3 linked regions of the Xenopus tropicalis genome follow. The protein of the gene in region 2 interacts with the protein of the main gene of each other region in a pairwise test. Links are inferred from orthologs where the notes say so. Each region holds a gene or a part of one and is shown on either strand. Other genes may lie near its edges. The genes, in order: g2e3, wdr6 and ptpn3.

Region 1 (5,523 bases), on a different chromosome or scaffold from region 2:
GCACATTACATGATGTATTTTCATATTTCGTAATCAAGGCACAGGTAAAGCATACATATTAGCAGTTGAAAAAAAAAAAAATAAGAAAACTGTATTAACTTATCTGCACCTTGCACTAGTGTCATCATTATAAATATAAAACATGTAAGAGCTAAACAGGGGCAAAAGGTATTATTTGTAAAACTATTTACACACCACAATGCATAGTGATAAAATAAACATGCTAAGCAAAAGAACAGAGGGCAGTGAAGAGGAAGGGGTAAAAAGACTAGGATAACTGTTAGCCAGCCTTATATGAAATGAGTTAATGTAGTTAAGTGCATTATATTTAACAGCATTGTGGGCAGAAACATTTAAGTAATGAGATTTTAGGTGAAAATAACTTGACACAAAACGGATTGCTCTAGTAAAAAAAAAAAAGAGCATTTAGGTCCTATTCTATAAAACAGGCCTTGTAGAAATATAATAGTTTTCCTTTTGGGCAATTATGTTGTAATATTCTGTATGTCAGGCAAGGTTTTATTACAACTTACCAAACAGTAGTAGTGCAAGGTCAAGTCATGTTCAGGGTAGGTCTTTTTCTCCCCAAATTTTTCAGCACAGTCATCTGAAAGGCCACAAAACACGCAGGCTAAAAAGAAGAAATAACAAAATTAAGTTATTCTGAGATTTCGAAGTAACACTATTGCTCTGCTTTAGGCATACAGAATGGAGATTTACATGTGCTATGTCTATTGTGCCTCTGGAGCATGAGAATATGAGCATCATACTTACGCAGGTTCTTTGAGGACTTCCGTCTGATCCGACTCATTCTTGCAGCTCAGGTTAAAAGTACCTGATGGGGAAAAAAAAATAAATATGGCATTGCAAGAGAATTTAAGCATATGTCACATCAGGTCCTTGTTTGCCAATGTTGATATACCACTGTAAAGAGCGGCTTAATTTTCTGGTGCTATATAAGTGGATTCTGACCATTTAAGCATCAATAAGATGTCTATGACTACACATTTAGCCTACATTTTACAAGCAGACTATAACAAGTCAAGTTGATGAAAAAGCACCACTGCATTGTAAGGTTGACATATACTGCTAACAATTGGGGTTACTGTTTGTCATATACCCCTAGGAGATGAACTTTATGTTAATGTATACACCTGTTCAGTTGGTCAGCAGTATCTCACAAAACAGATAGGCCCTGGTCACATCATAGAATCATGTACCTAGTGCTGCTTCCTGACCTCAGCTTTTAGCTGCATGTTGTGCTGGCTCCCCTGCCTGTGCTTTGTCAACATTACTTAGTGGAGCACAGCAGAAAAAAGCAAAATGAGCAATAAAGGAAAGCAGAGATAAGTCAACACTGGCCACATCAGGCACTAAATTGGAAAGAAAAACAGATCTATGTGGGCACTGCAGAAAAGTAGTAATGAATGGAAAGAACAGCAGTAGAACAGTGGATAATGGGAAGTGGTACAATAGAGAAAAAGTGACATTTTGAAAATAATCTTACTCCAGCCCCAGTCCAGCATACCCTTTTCACTCCGACTCCCTAAATATGCAGTTCCCCAAGCAATAGAGGTCTGTCAATAGAGACACAGTCTTTGGATATTAGCGTTTACATTTGCATTTCAGTCTGCACCTCCCCTGAACCCAGCTTACTTGCTGTCTTTTAAGAAAGCAAAGTGGCAGCTCCATGCATTGTTACAACATGTGCATAGAATGAATGATATTTTTGTCTGGAGCTCACCAGGTTGGAATTTAAATGTAAATCTGATTGCTAGGCTCACTGGCTTTGGAAACCTTCCATGTATTTATTATGCCACTTTTTTAATAATGTTTGGAGTCTGGAAAAAAAAAAAAAAGCAAAGAGCAGCTTCACTGAGAGGAACTGTATGGAAGTGCTGCTTTCAGTACTTCTTTTTCCAAAGTGTTAATTTAAAGGTTATTATTTCTTGGCACACTAAAACACCCTAAGGAGCACACAGTGGCTCATTTCAAGTTGGGAAAGTCTGCCCTCGTGCAGTAACTCGCTGCAACCAAATTTTAGCTTTGTGCTTCTTGCAGGTTCCTGATATTAATATGAGCCCTGTGGGCCATTTTGTTGGCTGCCTTGTTTCACAATCTGGAGAAGTGCCTGAAACCGCACCTACTAGTTCTCACTTCATTGGTAACTGCTTGACACCATTAACACAGGCAGTTCTCATCCCAAACATGGGGTGGATTCATGGATTCCATGCATATCTATACACTTGATTATATTCTTCCCGTGTTGTCATAATGTGCCTGCATTGTGTTGCAGGAGACTGATACAAACAAAAGCTGCATACATATCCAAATGTTAGCAAATACAATTAGCACACAGATGTCTGGCCTAGATGCAAATGGTTCTCAGTGAGTTTCTACCAAACATTCTATTACATTTATTCTTATACTGCACTGCTACATTAACAGAATACAGTTAATTAAACTATCATTTACCATAAGCTATGCCTCGATCCCATTTACAAACACCTTCAAAACATTTGGGAATATGGAGGCACAGTAAGTCTTGCCTGACATCTTGGGTAAAGAGCACTCTTACACTATATTAGTGTATAAAACAATATTCTATAATGTAGCATGATGGGGCTTTGCCTCTGCCACTCTCAGGTGCCCACTGACTGTACTTGGCTGGGCATAGTTGTGCTGTTCAGTACTAACAAGCCAAGGGCAATACCATGACAGGATGGGGGGGGGGGGGGGGCAGAGGGCACCATATGTTCTAATTGGAAAGTCCTGTGGAATTTAGACATAATGAACTAACCCTTAAAAAATGCCCAGAGGGGCACTAGTAATGTTTAATAAGGTTTTATTCCCATTTAGCTGTCTCCAAGCTCACACACTCTCAGAGGCAGGCTGGTTTCCCACTTATAACAAACAAGGCTCGAATGGGACAGGCATAAAGTTTACAACTCAATGTAAACACACACGTTACTATGGGAGCATCAGCATATACTTGGTGTGTTTGTGTTTCTGACGGAGCCATGTCCGTAGAACGGATTTATAAATACATAAAGTGCCACATAAACCCGAGAGGACACATAGAAGGCCGATTGCGCGCTAAGTGGCAGCCAGCACGTCCCAATACAAAGATCCAGCCACATACCCAGTACAGTACCTGAATGCGCCACACTGCGCTGCCTTCCAATTCCAAAGATTGCGGTGTTCGGTTCCGTTCCTGTTCCTATACCTTCAACTTACACTTCCCACGATCGATGTTTTAAAACTGCCCACAAATTCAAACCCTAACATCCGGCACCATCTAGGAACCCTCTCAACAACACGGAATTACCATTGGAGGAGGCACCTGTACGTCATCAGAAGGCGGGATTCCCTTTGCGCTCAAGCCTCGCTTTCAATGCCTTTTTTTGTGTACATGACTTCCGGTGCCATTTGGAACGCAAACACGACTCATTTGAGAGACCATTACGATTAGGTTTGTTGTTAGGCGTCTTTGCGTCGCTGCAGTTGATGATATCAGCATTCCATAACGTTGTTTTTTTACATTAGTTTAGGAATGTAGGACTAAAATTGGATTGTGGGTGGTGGCATAATGCTTCTTCTTCCGTTGTGACTAGAGGCTTCTAATTCGTATAGACATTTGTAAGTGGTAGTTATAATGCCCTTGTTTCATAGTTACACTGAACATTAGTGTACGTAACGTATAGAGCTGTTGCACTGATGGACATTAGCCCTATGAAGAAAAGAACATCCCCAGCCCATCTTTTTGGACTGGGATTGAATATAGACCCTGACACTTCAATTACACTGAGGCCCGAACAGCCTAATAAATAGTGACTTTGGCATCTTACAGCAGCCCCTCTGACTATTTGCCAGAATGTATGTATGTATAACTTTATTTATAAAGCGCTACAAGGGTACGCAGCGCTGTACAATCTTACAATGTACACAATTACACACAGGGAACCCACAGATTGCCAGTCTGGGCCTGTGCATTGTAGCCCACCATCCCTGTTTTATGAGGATTGGGGGTCTGGAGAGAGATCTACAGAATAGGAGATACGTCAAAATTCTCTGATGAAGAACTATTGGGTCAAAAAGGTTATTTTAGGATATGTGAGAAGGGTCATTATAACCCTGAGCTTTAGGCACAATAGAATATTTTTGGCTAATTTATACATATTAAAGAGCAAAGGGGGTACATATATTTTATCTTATATGTTGAAATATTTAAATGGTATGTATAGGGAAATAGATATATGTTGTTTTTGTCATATATTCATGATATATATATAAAGAAAGGGTACTACACACACAGGGACTTCAAGGAGAAGGAAAGGCAAAGTCACTTGGGGGTGCCAAAATATTAGGCACCCCCAAGTGACTTTAATCGCTTTACCTTGTACCCCGGGCTGGTGACCCTGTTAAAAGAAAACAGCACCAGCCCGGGGTACCTGCAGCGGAGCGCTTCCTCCCTCCTGCTTTGTTTTACAACGACTAAATGACAGGCGCACAGTAGAGTGAAAAGCCGACTTCTCTGTTAAAGTTCCACTATTCACCCTACTGCGCATGCGCGCGCGGCGATACAGGAAGAAGGAAGCGCTGCAGGTACCCCGGGCTGGTGCGGTTTTCTCCTAACAGGGGCACCAGCCCGGGGTAAAAGGTAAGCGATCTAAGTCACTTGGGGGTGCCTAACTATTCGGCAGTTGGATATATTATGTAAAGCGGTTTATTATTCTAAGATCTGTATATAAACTGGCTGAAATTTTGAGTGAGAGAGCTCATTCCTTACTCCTACCACCGAGAAGGTCCGAACAATTTGAGCTCCAACTGTGGGCAAGGCTATCAGATTACCACCACTGAAGCACAAAGACTTTGGTTAGCCTTTATCTGCCTTCCAGTCACTCTTCTGTTGCTAGTCATTTGTATCTGCTCTGACTCTGTAAGTTTTTATTGTTAGAAATAATTTTTTTCCTAAGCTATAAGGCTTGGTGTTGTGGACTCAATTCGATTCAATTTATTTGGCCCAGAATTCTACAATATACCAAAAAATGCATTGCCAGAAGTGAATTAAAAAGGAGTCACTTCCTGCTGTTTGCCTAGACAAGCAGAACAATAGAAAAGCATCCATATCATATGTGGCCTTGGAAAGCATTTATAATCAGCCGGTGTAATTGTAGTAAACTCTGTATGGACATTTTGGTTAAGGGCATTACTCCTGTCTTGCCATTTGTCTTATTATGATTCATTATCTTGTTTCTGCTCCCACTTCTTGTATCACTGCAAGCATGGAGCAGCCCAGTGTTACCTGCTATATTATGATACATGACCCAGAAGTTACTGTGAAAACTGCTTGCATGACAAAGGGTTAAATAATTTTGTTGTGTTACTATAGGTGGAGCAGACAGCTGTCTGTCTGCTCCACCTATAGTAACACAACAAAATTATTTAACCCTTTGTCATGCAAGCAGTTTTCACAGTGGCGTAACTAATAACCTTCTCAGGGCTGCTGAAATCTGCATGACT
Region 2 (5,048 bases):
GGCTGTGTGCTCCCTCAGAGATCAGCTGACAGGAAATAATGCAGCTCTGACTGTAACAGGAAGTAGTGTGGGAGCAAAAGGCAGAACTCTGCCCATTCATTGGCTGATGGGGCCTAGCATGTATGTGTGCCTTGGCTTGTTTGTGTGCAATGTGAATCCAATGATCCCAGCAGGAGGCCCTTAATTCTTAAAATGGCAATTTTCTATTTAGGATTACCCAATAGCACATACTACTAAAAAAGTATATTTTTATGAAAATGGTTTATTTAGATGAAGCAGGGCTTTACATATGAGCTGGTTTATACAATATATTTTTATAGAGACCTACAGTGTTTGGGGGTATAGTTTTTCTTTAAGTCAGTCAGCACCAGCAAGAAATACTGGATATACTCACATCAGACATGGTTTAATAAGTGAATACAATCTGATAGGTTCACCTGTACAATAGTGCACTATTTGGTGGGACCTGAGGACAAACTTGGGGACCTAAAACCCCTTTTGTCAGTTATTTACCAGATGCCAGTGTAGTACACACCTTACAGATCCATCACTGCAGGCTGCAGCAAGAAACACCAAACTGGAAGGTGGGTTGTCACGAACCTCCTCACCAACCACTGTGATTGCCATGTACCTGAAAGGATGGATGGAACATTAGAAGATGTTAAATACATTGCTATTGCAGCAGAACTTCACTGTATCTGAAGAACTGATTTAGAAAACAATGCAGTAGTTCAGTTTATAAAACCACTTCTGGCACCTCAGTCTCTTAGGGCAATGGCACAATGGGAGGCAGTTTCTAAGTCTATAATATTAAAAGCATACACCTTTTAAGGAAAGCTTTGATTGTAAGCTCTAAAGAGCAATTTAGACTTTATGTAACTTGACCCAATGTCCAAATTTTCCAACAGAAGGCTACACAGTGCAGCACCACCTGATAAGTGTTTCTGCTTGTCAGGAATCAATCTGTGGGCTCACAGTAACCAACAGGGCCATTGACTTTATTACTACAGTTAGACTGATCATTAGCGCCACCTACCGCCCACAATGAGAAGTACATATAATGTATCAAAATCTTTCCTTTCATAAATGCTGCACATTTTATTTAATTAAAACACAGAAATTGTGGTCCCATTTCTTCCTTATAAATATCCACTATAAGACACTCGTTCATCATGGTCATAGTTGCCACACATGCTAAAGGCAACAGATTTTACATTTATTTGTTGTTGTTTAACTATGTTGCAAAGTTCATACTTTGGTGGCCCTTTGAACTGGATGAAGTAGGACTATTATTTGTTTGCCCCTAGGCCTCAAATGCCATTGACAGGCAATAACCGTGCCTTTAACACTGTAAGCATCACTACCAAAACTGCATCTTGGAAAAGAGTGAAATTCCCTATTAAATATATTTCTATGATGGAATCAGCTAACTATAAATGAACAGATGCGCTATAGTGACACACTGAGGCTTGATGAGATGACTGGACAAGTTACCTGGTTTCTGGATCCATCTTGACAAGTCTGTGCTTATTCTTCATTCGGTCCCAGTGCTCATCCAGTCTGTGGGACGCAAGGTGGATTACTTGGCACAAGACACTTTCTTCATCCTTGCCTTGGTTAATCTGTATATGATAGCACTCTATCTCTGCCCTCCCTCCTGCACTGAACAGCACGGCAGATAGGCTGCTGTCCTGCTGGAAACAAGGCTTAGTTTGTGCTAAAGCCAGGGCTTTTACACTAGAGATATGATCGCTAATTGTTGAAAGTTGGTACAGACTGTTTGTTGCCGCATTGAAGCATAATATGTTCACAGTGGTGTCTTCGCTGCTTGTTAATAAAACATGTAGGTGCTCGTAAGTTTTAAGGGACCCCGCGTATTTGACACAGGTTATTTCTCTGCCATGCACTGGCTCTTTTAATATGCTTTGGGTTTTCCCAACCGGGTGGCTCAAATAGGCAAAAATATCACAAGACTTGATATAAGCAAATACCTCAGTGTGTTCTTCTTTTCTGTAACTCCATGACCTATGCCCTCCTCCACATGGGACACAATGAAGCTTCTCATTGGTTCTTGTACTCCAAACCACAAAGTCAGTGGCATGGAAACCCATCACTAACAAATTGCCATCAGCAGTAAATGACAGGCGCTCTATCCATTCCATTCCCTTGCAGGACTTAAGTTTGCGCAGCAGAGTTAGCTGGCCTCTCTCTACCTTCAGCTGACGGTAAAATCCATCCCGCCCTGTGCTGTACACAAACCCACTGTGGCAACTGATGGATGTTACCCCTAACTTGCCATGAATGCCAAACAAAAGTGAAACAGGACCCTCCACAGATAGCACTGAGCAGGCAGTTGAGGGACAGTTGGGTCTTTGTTCACCTACAAAATCATCTACATTCTCCTTCAAATGTAAGGCACCACTTTCACTCTGAATGGCCCCCTGGAAGAGGTCTTGTCCTCTGTTTGTGGCATTCATGGGAAATAACATTAATGAGCCTCTACGATCCCCACACACTATGAATTCCTCATCAGGGAGGAAGGCCACACTGGTATGCCACCTCTGCTTACATGCTGGCAAAACAAACCGACCCTTTTCTGCCACAGATTCAACATATCCAGAAACACACGTGACCTCCAAGCACACCATCAGACCGTATGGGCCAGATGAGAAAAGACCGCAAGTGAATGACCCAGGGCATAAAGGCGCTACCCAGCTCAGGCTATGTATTTTACCCTGGTGACATTTAAGGTCCTTGAAAATTTTAGGAGAGGAAAGACTAAAAATCTTGATTTCCCCTGTTATGTTCCCAATAGCGCATAAGACATTGTTAGATGTTTTATAAATATCAAGTTGACAGTAGGATTTATAGTTCTCATCTGTGAGAATAAAACTCCACTTTTTGGAAATAAAATCGTATGTATAGATGGAACCTAAATCTGTCATAACAATGAGCAAAGTGGTATCTACCATAGCAATGGCCTTTGGAGCCCCTGGGCTATGAGATGAACTAAATTGTAATGAAAGGAGCTCGTTGGACCTAGAAGACTTTCCATTTATTTGCCAGAGTCTAATGGCAGAGTCTGCCCCTCCAGTAGCTACCAAATCTTCCCGGCCTTGTACAGCAACTGCTCTGATGCCTCGACCTTTGTGGCCTTTGAAATGACTGACAATGTCCCCCTGGTAATTCCACACGATGCACGCGGAGTCCTCCCCTATGCTGATAATGTTTTCATGAAGCAGCTTTACTGACCACACTCGAGACTGATGCCCATACAACACAAGAAGGCACTTGACATCAAAACTCTTAGCCACAAGGTCGCCGACATCCCAAATCCTAAGACTGCGGTCATCAGAGGCGGAAGCTAAAAGACCTCTTTTCTTTTTATAAAAGATGCTAAATATGACACCATTGTGGCCGCTTATCCTTTGCCTTGGTTCTGTTCGTCCATCTTTATTTGTTGGATCTGACACTCCCCAAACAACTAGCTGGTTAAAAACGGTCCCGGAAACCAGCACCAGTTCCTCCCAGCTGTGACCGTAGAAACAAGCAGAGTACAAGATGCATTTCTCAGCACAATGGACCTCTTTTAGAACCTTCCCACTTAAGAAATCATAAAGAGCCACGGAGTTGTGGCCTAGGGCTAAACCAAGGTACGCTGCTGGTTTTAGGCAGTCTCCAAGCCACTGTACATCCCAAATCCAGTCATGTAGTTCTCTGAGCATACAGATTTCTGTTAGGCTCACGTCATCATCACTGATGTTCAGCTGCAGAACGATAAGCCCCTTGCTTCCAAACACAGCAACTATCATGGGTTCACCTTCAACCGTAGCAGAAGAATTGAGCTTTATGCCATGGATAGTGTAACCTTGGAGAACATTCTGCCTTTTCCTATGTGAGATAAGGTGATCTTTCTCCAAACTATACACAGTGAGATAAGGGCCTTCACCTGCAATGAATATAAAAATATAATTTACCCACACTCCATGTAAAACCCCAGGGGCAGCTTGCAAAAAGGGGTTGGTAACAAGCCAAGCTGAATGGCCAATTCTGCTGAATTGACACATTTACATCTTACAGTTCTCATAAACTATGATCCACAGTTAAGCTAAACAGGCCCCAATGCATTTTGACAGAAGACATTAGACAACTGAGCTGGATGTGCCACCCATTGTTGTTTTAATAAGTGAATATAAAATTGATAAAAGTGCTATTTTAATCATTTCTGCAATTTGCATTATTAATTTATTTTTAATTTGAAGAAATTAATGGAAATATGTACTGTTAATATAAAGAATTTTGCTACAACAGCACCACCTGCTGGTCAGTTTCCAACCATCATCAATAATGAATATTATTCAATAATAAATATGAATTGCAAAGGTGCTTAGGATAGCACTCTCATCAACTTTACATTTACTTATTCAAAGGTTAACTTATCCTTTAAAGGTAAAAAGTTGGAAATTAAAACATTTGCTGTAAAGAAAGAGTAGGAATTGAATAGCAAAAGAGAGAGGAGTGTGACCAACTTTGGGTAACGCTCTTTGAAATGGTGAAACCTTAAGCTTTCAGTGAATAAACAAGGATTTAATGGGTCAACTGTGCAATAAAGAAGTTCTTCTCTGTGGTGTGCAAGAAAGATGAACCCACAACAAGAACAAGGAACCAGGGTTTGCAGGTTCTTTTTATTTCACTACAACCACACTCTCTAGCCTCAGATGTGATCCTTGGTTATAGGGTTTCCATCAGATGCTAAAGTGCAAATGTATTAGCTGCTTTTTTTTTTTTACTGCTAAATATTCAATTTTAGCAGCAATTCTGCAGCCATAACCCAGTTTAACCTTCTCATATTCTTTCCCATATAGCAGAGTCAGTTACCTAAATCTTAGAACTTTGTATTTATACTACAACCTACCAGACAGGAGATGGTCGCCAACAAACTCCAGCGCTGTAATGGGTGCAATCAGCAGCAGAGACTCCATTTCTGCTTATGGTTTTTCTCAACCTCCAACCAGAGAATCCATCAGACCGGTTCTACACTGCAATAG
Region 3 (5,781 bases), on a different chromosome or scaffold from region 2:
ATACCAACATTTGTGCTACTTACAATTATTATTTTAAGTACTAAAATGAAAGTCTACTGTAGCCCCTCACCTTCTAGTAGAAACTAATTAGCAATGTGCTACCTAAACAAAAATTGCTATATATGTCCAGAGGCTGTCCAGATAAGTTCAATGTGATGTGGGACCCATGGTTAAGAGCAGGCCCGGATTTGTGGGGAGGCCACAAAGGCCCGGGCCTAGGACAGCAGAAACCTGGTGGCGGCATGCCGCCCCGCCACCCAAAGATCTAAAAATTTGTGTTCCCATACGGAGCAATGCGGACTTCTCCCACTGCTCCATATGCAAGTTTGGCCTATGGCGCACGCGCGCTTGTGACCCCCCCCCCTGCTATTCGCGCATGCGCGCTCGCAGACCCCCCGCACTGTCACGCACGCATGCGCACTCGGGGGGGGGGCGTGTGTCCAGGGGCGGCCTCGGGGCGGCAAATTTGTAAATCCAGCCCTGGTTAAGAGTACAATCTTAAAGGAGAAAGAAAGGCAAAAACTAAGTAAGCTTTATCAGAAAGGTCTATGTAAATACAGCCATAAGCACTCACAGAAACGCTGCACTGACTTCTCTGAAAAAAAGATTAGTTGTATCTGTAATTCCTGTGCCACAGACACGCAGCTTTCTGTTCTCTGCTCTTTCCTGCTCCCCCCTCCCTCAAGAATGCTAAGAACTCACTCCCCCCCCTTAGGAATGTGGATCTGAGCCAATCAGCAGGAAGTTGACTCATAGGCTTACTAACTGAGCATGTTCAGTTTGGTCTCGGTGTCTGTGCAGGAGCGAGGATTATGGGAACTTTCTTTACACAGCTCAGCGTTTTTTCTTCATGTTTGGCTTCAGATCTTCTGAACAGGTGAAATATGGGGAGACTTAAGGGCACTATTGAGACAACTGAAGGTATGCCTGCAGTTTGAGATTAACTCTTTACTAGCCTTTCCTTCTCCTTTAATGAATGTGCCAGGCTCGTATAAGCCTTGTATATTTCCCTCTTTTCGTCCCCTTTTCTATCTCTATATTGCTGATGTTAACACCTTAATAAAAAAAAAAAAAAGAAAGAAAATGTTTTGAATCAAATGTATTTAATTGGTTCTCTTTATTGTCAGGCCTGCTGTAGTTGCTTATATTTCACTTCACAGATTTTAATTTAATTAGTATCTTTATATTTGATAAACAAATTCAAGCAATAGAATGATTCCTACTCTGCAGCATGAACCTTTATTAATGGCTATTTTCAACAGATTTTACCTATTTTAGGTTGCAACTAATATCCACAAGACATAAGATTGTACTAAAAGTGTAACATACTACAGGTATGGGATCCCTTATCTGAAAACCCATTATCCAGAAAGTTCCGAATTATGGAAAGGCCATCTCCCATAGACTCCATTATAAGAAAATAATTCTGTAATTATTCTGTAATTCTGTAATTATAAAACAGTACCTTGTACTTGATCCAAACTGAGATATAATTAATCCTTACTGGATGCAAAACAAGCCTATTGGGTTTATTCAATGTTTAAATGATTTTTAGCAGACTTAAGTTATGGAGATCCAAATTACAGAAAGATCCCTTATCCGGAAAACCACAGGTCCCGAGCATTCTGGATAACAGGTCTAATTCCTGTACAAGTTTGAGAGCCTCAGTGCTAATTTACTGAATTTCTGGGTTAAGATGTATAAATGTAGATGTATTGTGATACATTGCTTACAGTTTAGGTCTAGGTCTAATTCTGCAATGAAAAGGAACATCTATGAATTGCCATTTAAACTTCTATTCACAACCTTCTGAAAAATGGCCCATTTTAATTTTTTATAATAACTCCAGCACAATGAATTATAAAAGCAGGTGCTAAATTTCAACTGTCAGTAGAAACCCAATCAGCAATTATTTTTTAGCAGTCTACAGAAACCATATTGATTGTTATTGTGGTTTACTGTGTCAAATGCTTTAGCAAAGTCAAAGTAGATCACATCCACCAGTTTGGCAAGATCTGTTACGCAGATCTAGGGTTTAATAAGCATAAAGTTGCACACATTCAAATACAAAAGGACTTGCAACAACACACCCCTTCAACATCTACATGTGCAAACAGGATGGTTGCTTCTACACTTCTGCATGAGGTGCAAAGTGCAAACCACACAACAAACTTGCCTTGAAAAGGAGTAACTTCCAGGGCTCACTGTCTGCATGTTGTGCCTACACATGCAACTGACGTGCACTTAATCCATCACAGACAAATGCCATTTTTTCTGACCCAGTGCTGTGCCACCACTGTTGCTTGATATTTATTTCTCACTTACACATCAGTGAGCATCTTAAAGTTATATCAATTCTAAATGAAAAAATAAAGGCTCAATATAGTACACTCTGTACTAATTGGCTCTACAGAAACTGTCATTGGGAACAAAGTGACTGGATTAAATTGTCAATGCCTGTAAAGGAAAAACTTTTTGACAAGAGAGACAATTACAATCTCTCTCACACCAAAAACCCTTCTTACATGGATCTTTCAAGATACAATACAGCATATGCTATATATCATGATTAAACAAAATATATACTATGAGAATTTATAAAAAGGAAGTAACATCCCTACACTAAGATAAATATTGATGTTCATAACAACACTTTTAAATAAATGTAAAATAAAGCCAAGCAAGCCACTAATACTATGTTACATTCCCAAACCTAACCAGGTCTTTTAATTAAAGGGCTAAGGCCAGTAAGGGGGGCACATGAGTGTAAGGGACATAACAGGACTTACATGACTTTAAATATAACAAAGTGTACTTATTGAATATGAAAGTGTATTTTGATTAAGTGACTGAAATATGGTGTATGGAAACAATAATAATGTATGAAATTTAATTCAAGTAAGAAAAATGCATCTTCTTCAAACCTTGGCTACAGTTGTCTTGTTCACTGAGCAATCCTTGTTGTCTCAACAATCCCTATAAAGTCAGTGGTGAAACTACCAAAGTCAGATTGCTGAGCAAGTTATGTTGGCTCAGGAGAGGAGAGGCTTGGCAGGGCCTTCCCATACCTGTCACTTCCCTACTACTGCGCATAATATGGCCCAACTGCTAAGTCTATACCACAGAACATATATACACACATACTGCCACCAGAACACAATATGACTTTGTCTGAAACGTACTAAAATCTGAGGCATGTAATTTGCCAAACAGAAACAGAGTACGGTACCACTTTGAGAGAAAAAACTTTTACAGCAGTGTGTTGTTCTTTTCACATATCATTTTAGCATTTGGGTGTGATTACAATTACAGATATAATTCTATGCACAGCTTTCCTTAATAATACATACTGTTTTCCTCTAAACATCTTAAGCAATCGTGTGCGCAGTGTTAGCACCAGCCTGCAGGTAGGCGACGAGCCAAGCCCCTCAGTATGGCCCGTGGGGGAAATGACAGGCTGACTCACACCTACAGTGCGCAATTGTGACCGAGGCACAGTCTGTTGCTTCCGTGCAGCACCAGCGCCTTGTCTATTCCTACTGCAGTGATTTACCTGCACCATTCAGATCCTCCTCCCGAATCGCTCTGGCCAACCCAGCACAGCCCGACACTCCTGCCACAGCCGAAAGGACAAATCCAGGGCAGTTTTTGTATCGTCCTCTGGATCCTGACAAAAAAAGCAGGTGGTGGTATATCTCCCTTTTTCTTCTTTTCTATTACAGGAAGCCAGACCTCTGCACTGCTGTCCCACTCCAACACACAAGCCTCCTCCTTTCTTTCTCCACCTTCCCCCTTCCTCTTGTCGGTGCGGGGCTCCACCTATCAGGCTGTCTATGTATATTTTATTATCATTGATTAGCCTAACAGCAGCCTTCTCAGTACTAATATCTAGTGTAATCCATTTAGGGAAAAAGCTCGTCTGTTTGATGGCTTCTCCTTTCCTTTTCTCAGCCCTCCTCTGTGTGTGACATCAGCTGGATCCTCCCCTGAGCCTCTTGAGCTGCTCTCCAAAAGAAAATATATCAACAGAATGTAGATTGCACTCCCCCAGGCTCATTCTTCTGCCCGAGCGTGCTGCTGACTGTGTTCTGGTGGAATCTCTAGCGCTCTAAGCTGAGTGTCACTCTAAACCTTCTGCCATTCCGTGAGGAGCATGAGGTTATGTGCTGCTGTTACATGTACAGGCACAGTGCATTAGCATGGGTATCCTAATCAGAGCAGACAGTCACTCGCTAGAATTATGTTCAGTTGCAGTTCCATTTCACCTTATATGTACAGTTTGTATTGTTTTCTACTCTTTTTTCTTTAATCCCAGCTGATGAAGTTGTGAAAATGCCCTAATTAAACGTATGGTAGATATTCAGTGTTAGCTATACCTTTAATTGTTTGATTCTCTGCTACTAAAATACTACAATATGTGATTATTCACAAATCTTGTTATAGTATAGTTGTAGTTATATCAATGTAATGGTTTTGCCATGCCATTATTTTTATCTGACTGCTAATAATGTGGGACAAACCACATGAATAGCGATGAGCGAATTTTCTCGTCAGGCATGGATTTGCAGCGAATTTTTGCATTTCGCCATTGGAGAATTGTTTCGCAAAACTTCAGTGAAAAATCGTTACTTTTAGTATGACGTAGAGCAGGGTTAGGAAGGAGAGAGGGTGCCATGTAGCATGGGATGTACCTTCCATTTGGTATAGTATGTTTTGTTTTTTGAATTTTGTATTTAAATTCTGAGTCAATAAATGGTTGTGTTTCTCACTGAATAATGTGTTTAATTATTGTCCCCAACCTTTCATACTCGTGATCCACAGTCAAATGTAAAAAGACTTGGAGAGCAACACAAGCATCATAAAAGTTCATGGAGGTGCCAAATAAGGGCTGTGATTGGCTATTATCAGCTTACAGGGGCTTTATTTGGTAGGAAATCTTGTTTTTATTCAACCAAAACTTGCCCTCCAAGTCAGGAATTCATAAATAACTACCTGGTTTGGGGGCACTGAGAGCAACATCCAAGGGGTTGGGGAGCAACATGTTGCCCCCGAGTCACTGGTTGGGGATCACTGACGTAGAGAGTAATATTCTGAGACAATTTGCAGTTGGTCTTCATTTTTTTTATTTGTAGTTTTTTTAGTTATTTTACTTTTTGTTCAGCAGCTCTGCAGTTTGTAGTTTAAGCAGCTTTTTGGTTGCTAGGATCCAATTTACCTTAGCGGCCAGGGAGCAATTTGAATGAAAGGATGGTAAATGAATAAGAGAGGACCTAAATTTAAAAACAATTAACATTGACAATTAAACTGTAGCCTCACCAAGTAATAGTTTTTTGGCTGCTGGGGACTGTGACTCCCATTTGAAAGCTGCAAAGAGTTAGAAGAAAAAGGCAAGTATTTTAAAAACTATAAGAAATAAATAATGAAGACCAATGGACAAGTTGCTTAGAATAGGCATTTCTATAACATACTAAAAGATAATTTAAAGGTGAGCCACCCTTATTATTAACTATATAGCATGTTTATGATTTTAGTTACCTTCCCTGCAGTATTGTATGTCAGTTAGAGAATGTTACACGTTAGTCTTTTATAATGCCATAGTTGGCTGTACAGTAGAATTACATTCCTTATGATATTTCTAGGCAGGTGTTTGCAACTAAAACATACAACCATGCAAAAATTCTTAAGAGTAGGAACAGATCTGTCGGTGGAGCAATCTAGTGTGATTAGTACCGTTTTTATCTCTGCTACAAGTAGCGACAATCAAAGCTCTCTGCAGGTCCC

What was found.
Region 1: the proteins of wdr6 (region 2) and g2e3 interact in a two-hybrid assay, tested with the Homo sapiens proteins (2 studies listed by BioGRID and IntAct). The two-hybrid records come from large-scale screens. The link is inferred for Xenopus tropicalis from reciprocal best matches to the Homo sapiens genes WDR6 and G2E3.
Region 3: the proteins of wdr6 (region 2) and ptpn3 interact in binary tests that used the Homo sapiens proteins (3 or more experiments, as listed by UniProt). The two-hybrid records come from large-scale screens. The link is inferred for Xenopus tropicalis from reciprocal best matches to the Homo sapiens genes WDR6 and PTPN3.

What each region holds. Positions count from the first base shown.
Region 1 is NC_030684.2:113,027,111-113,032,633, reverse strand, and holds the start of g2e3 (G2/M phase-specific E3 ubiquitin-protein ligase), read right to left. Parts: upstream 3,343-5,523; 5' UTR 3,155-3,342; intron 836-3,154; 5' UTR 812-835; coding exon 775-811; intron 632-774; coding exon 534-631; intron 1-533. UniProt on the Homo sapiens protein: E3 ubiquitin-protein ligase which accepts ubiquitin from an E2 ubiquitin-conjugating enzyme in the form of a thioester and then directly transfers the ubiquitin to targeted substrates. Essential in early embryonic development to prevent apoptotic death.
Region 2 is NC_030680.2:136,673,714-136,678,761, reverse strand, and holds part of wdr6 (WD repeat-containing protein 6), read right to left. Parts: 5' UTR 4,983-5,048; coding exon 4,916-4,982; intron 3,950-4,915; coding exon 1,495-3,949; intron 632-1,494; coding exon 536-631; intron 1-535. UniProt on the Homo sapiens protein: Together with methyltransferase FTSJ1, methylates the 2'-O-ribose of nucleotides at position 34 of the tRNA anticodon loop of substrate tRNAs. Required for the correct positioning of the substrate tRNA for methylation.
Region 3 is NC_030682.2:75,075,647-75,081,427, reverse strand, and holds the start of ptpn3 (tyrosine-protein phosphatase non-receptor type 3), read right to left. Parts: upstream 3,731-5,781; 5' UTR 3,554-3,730; intron 1-3,553.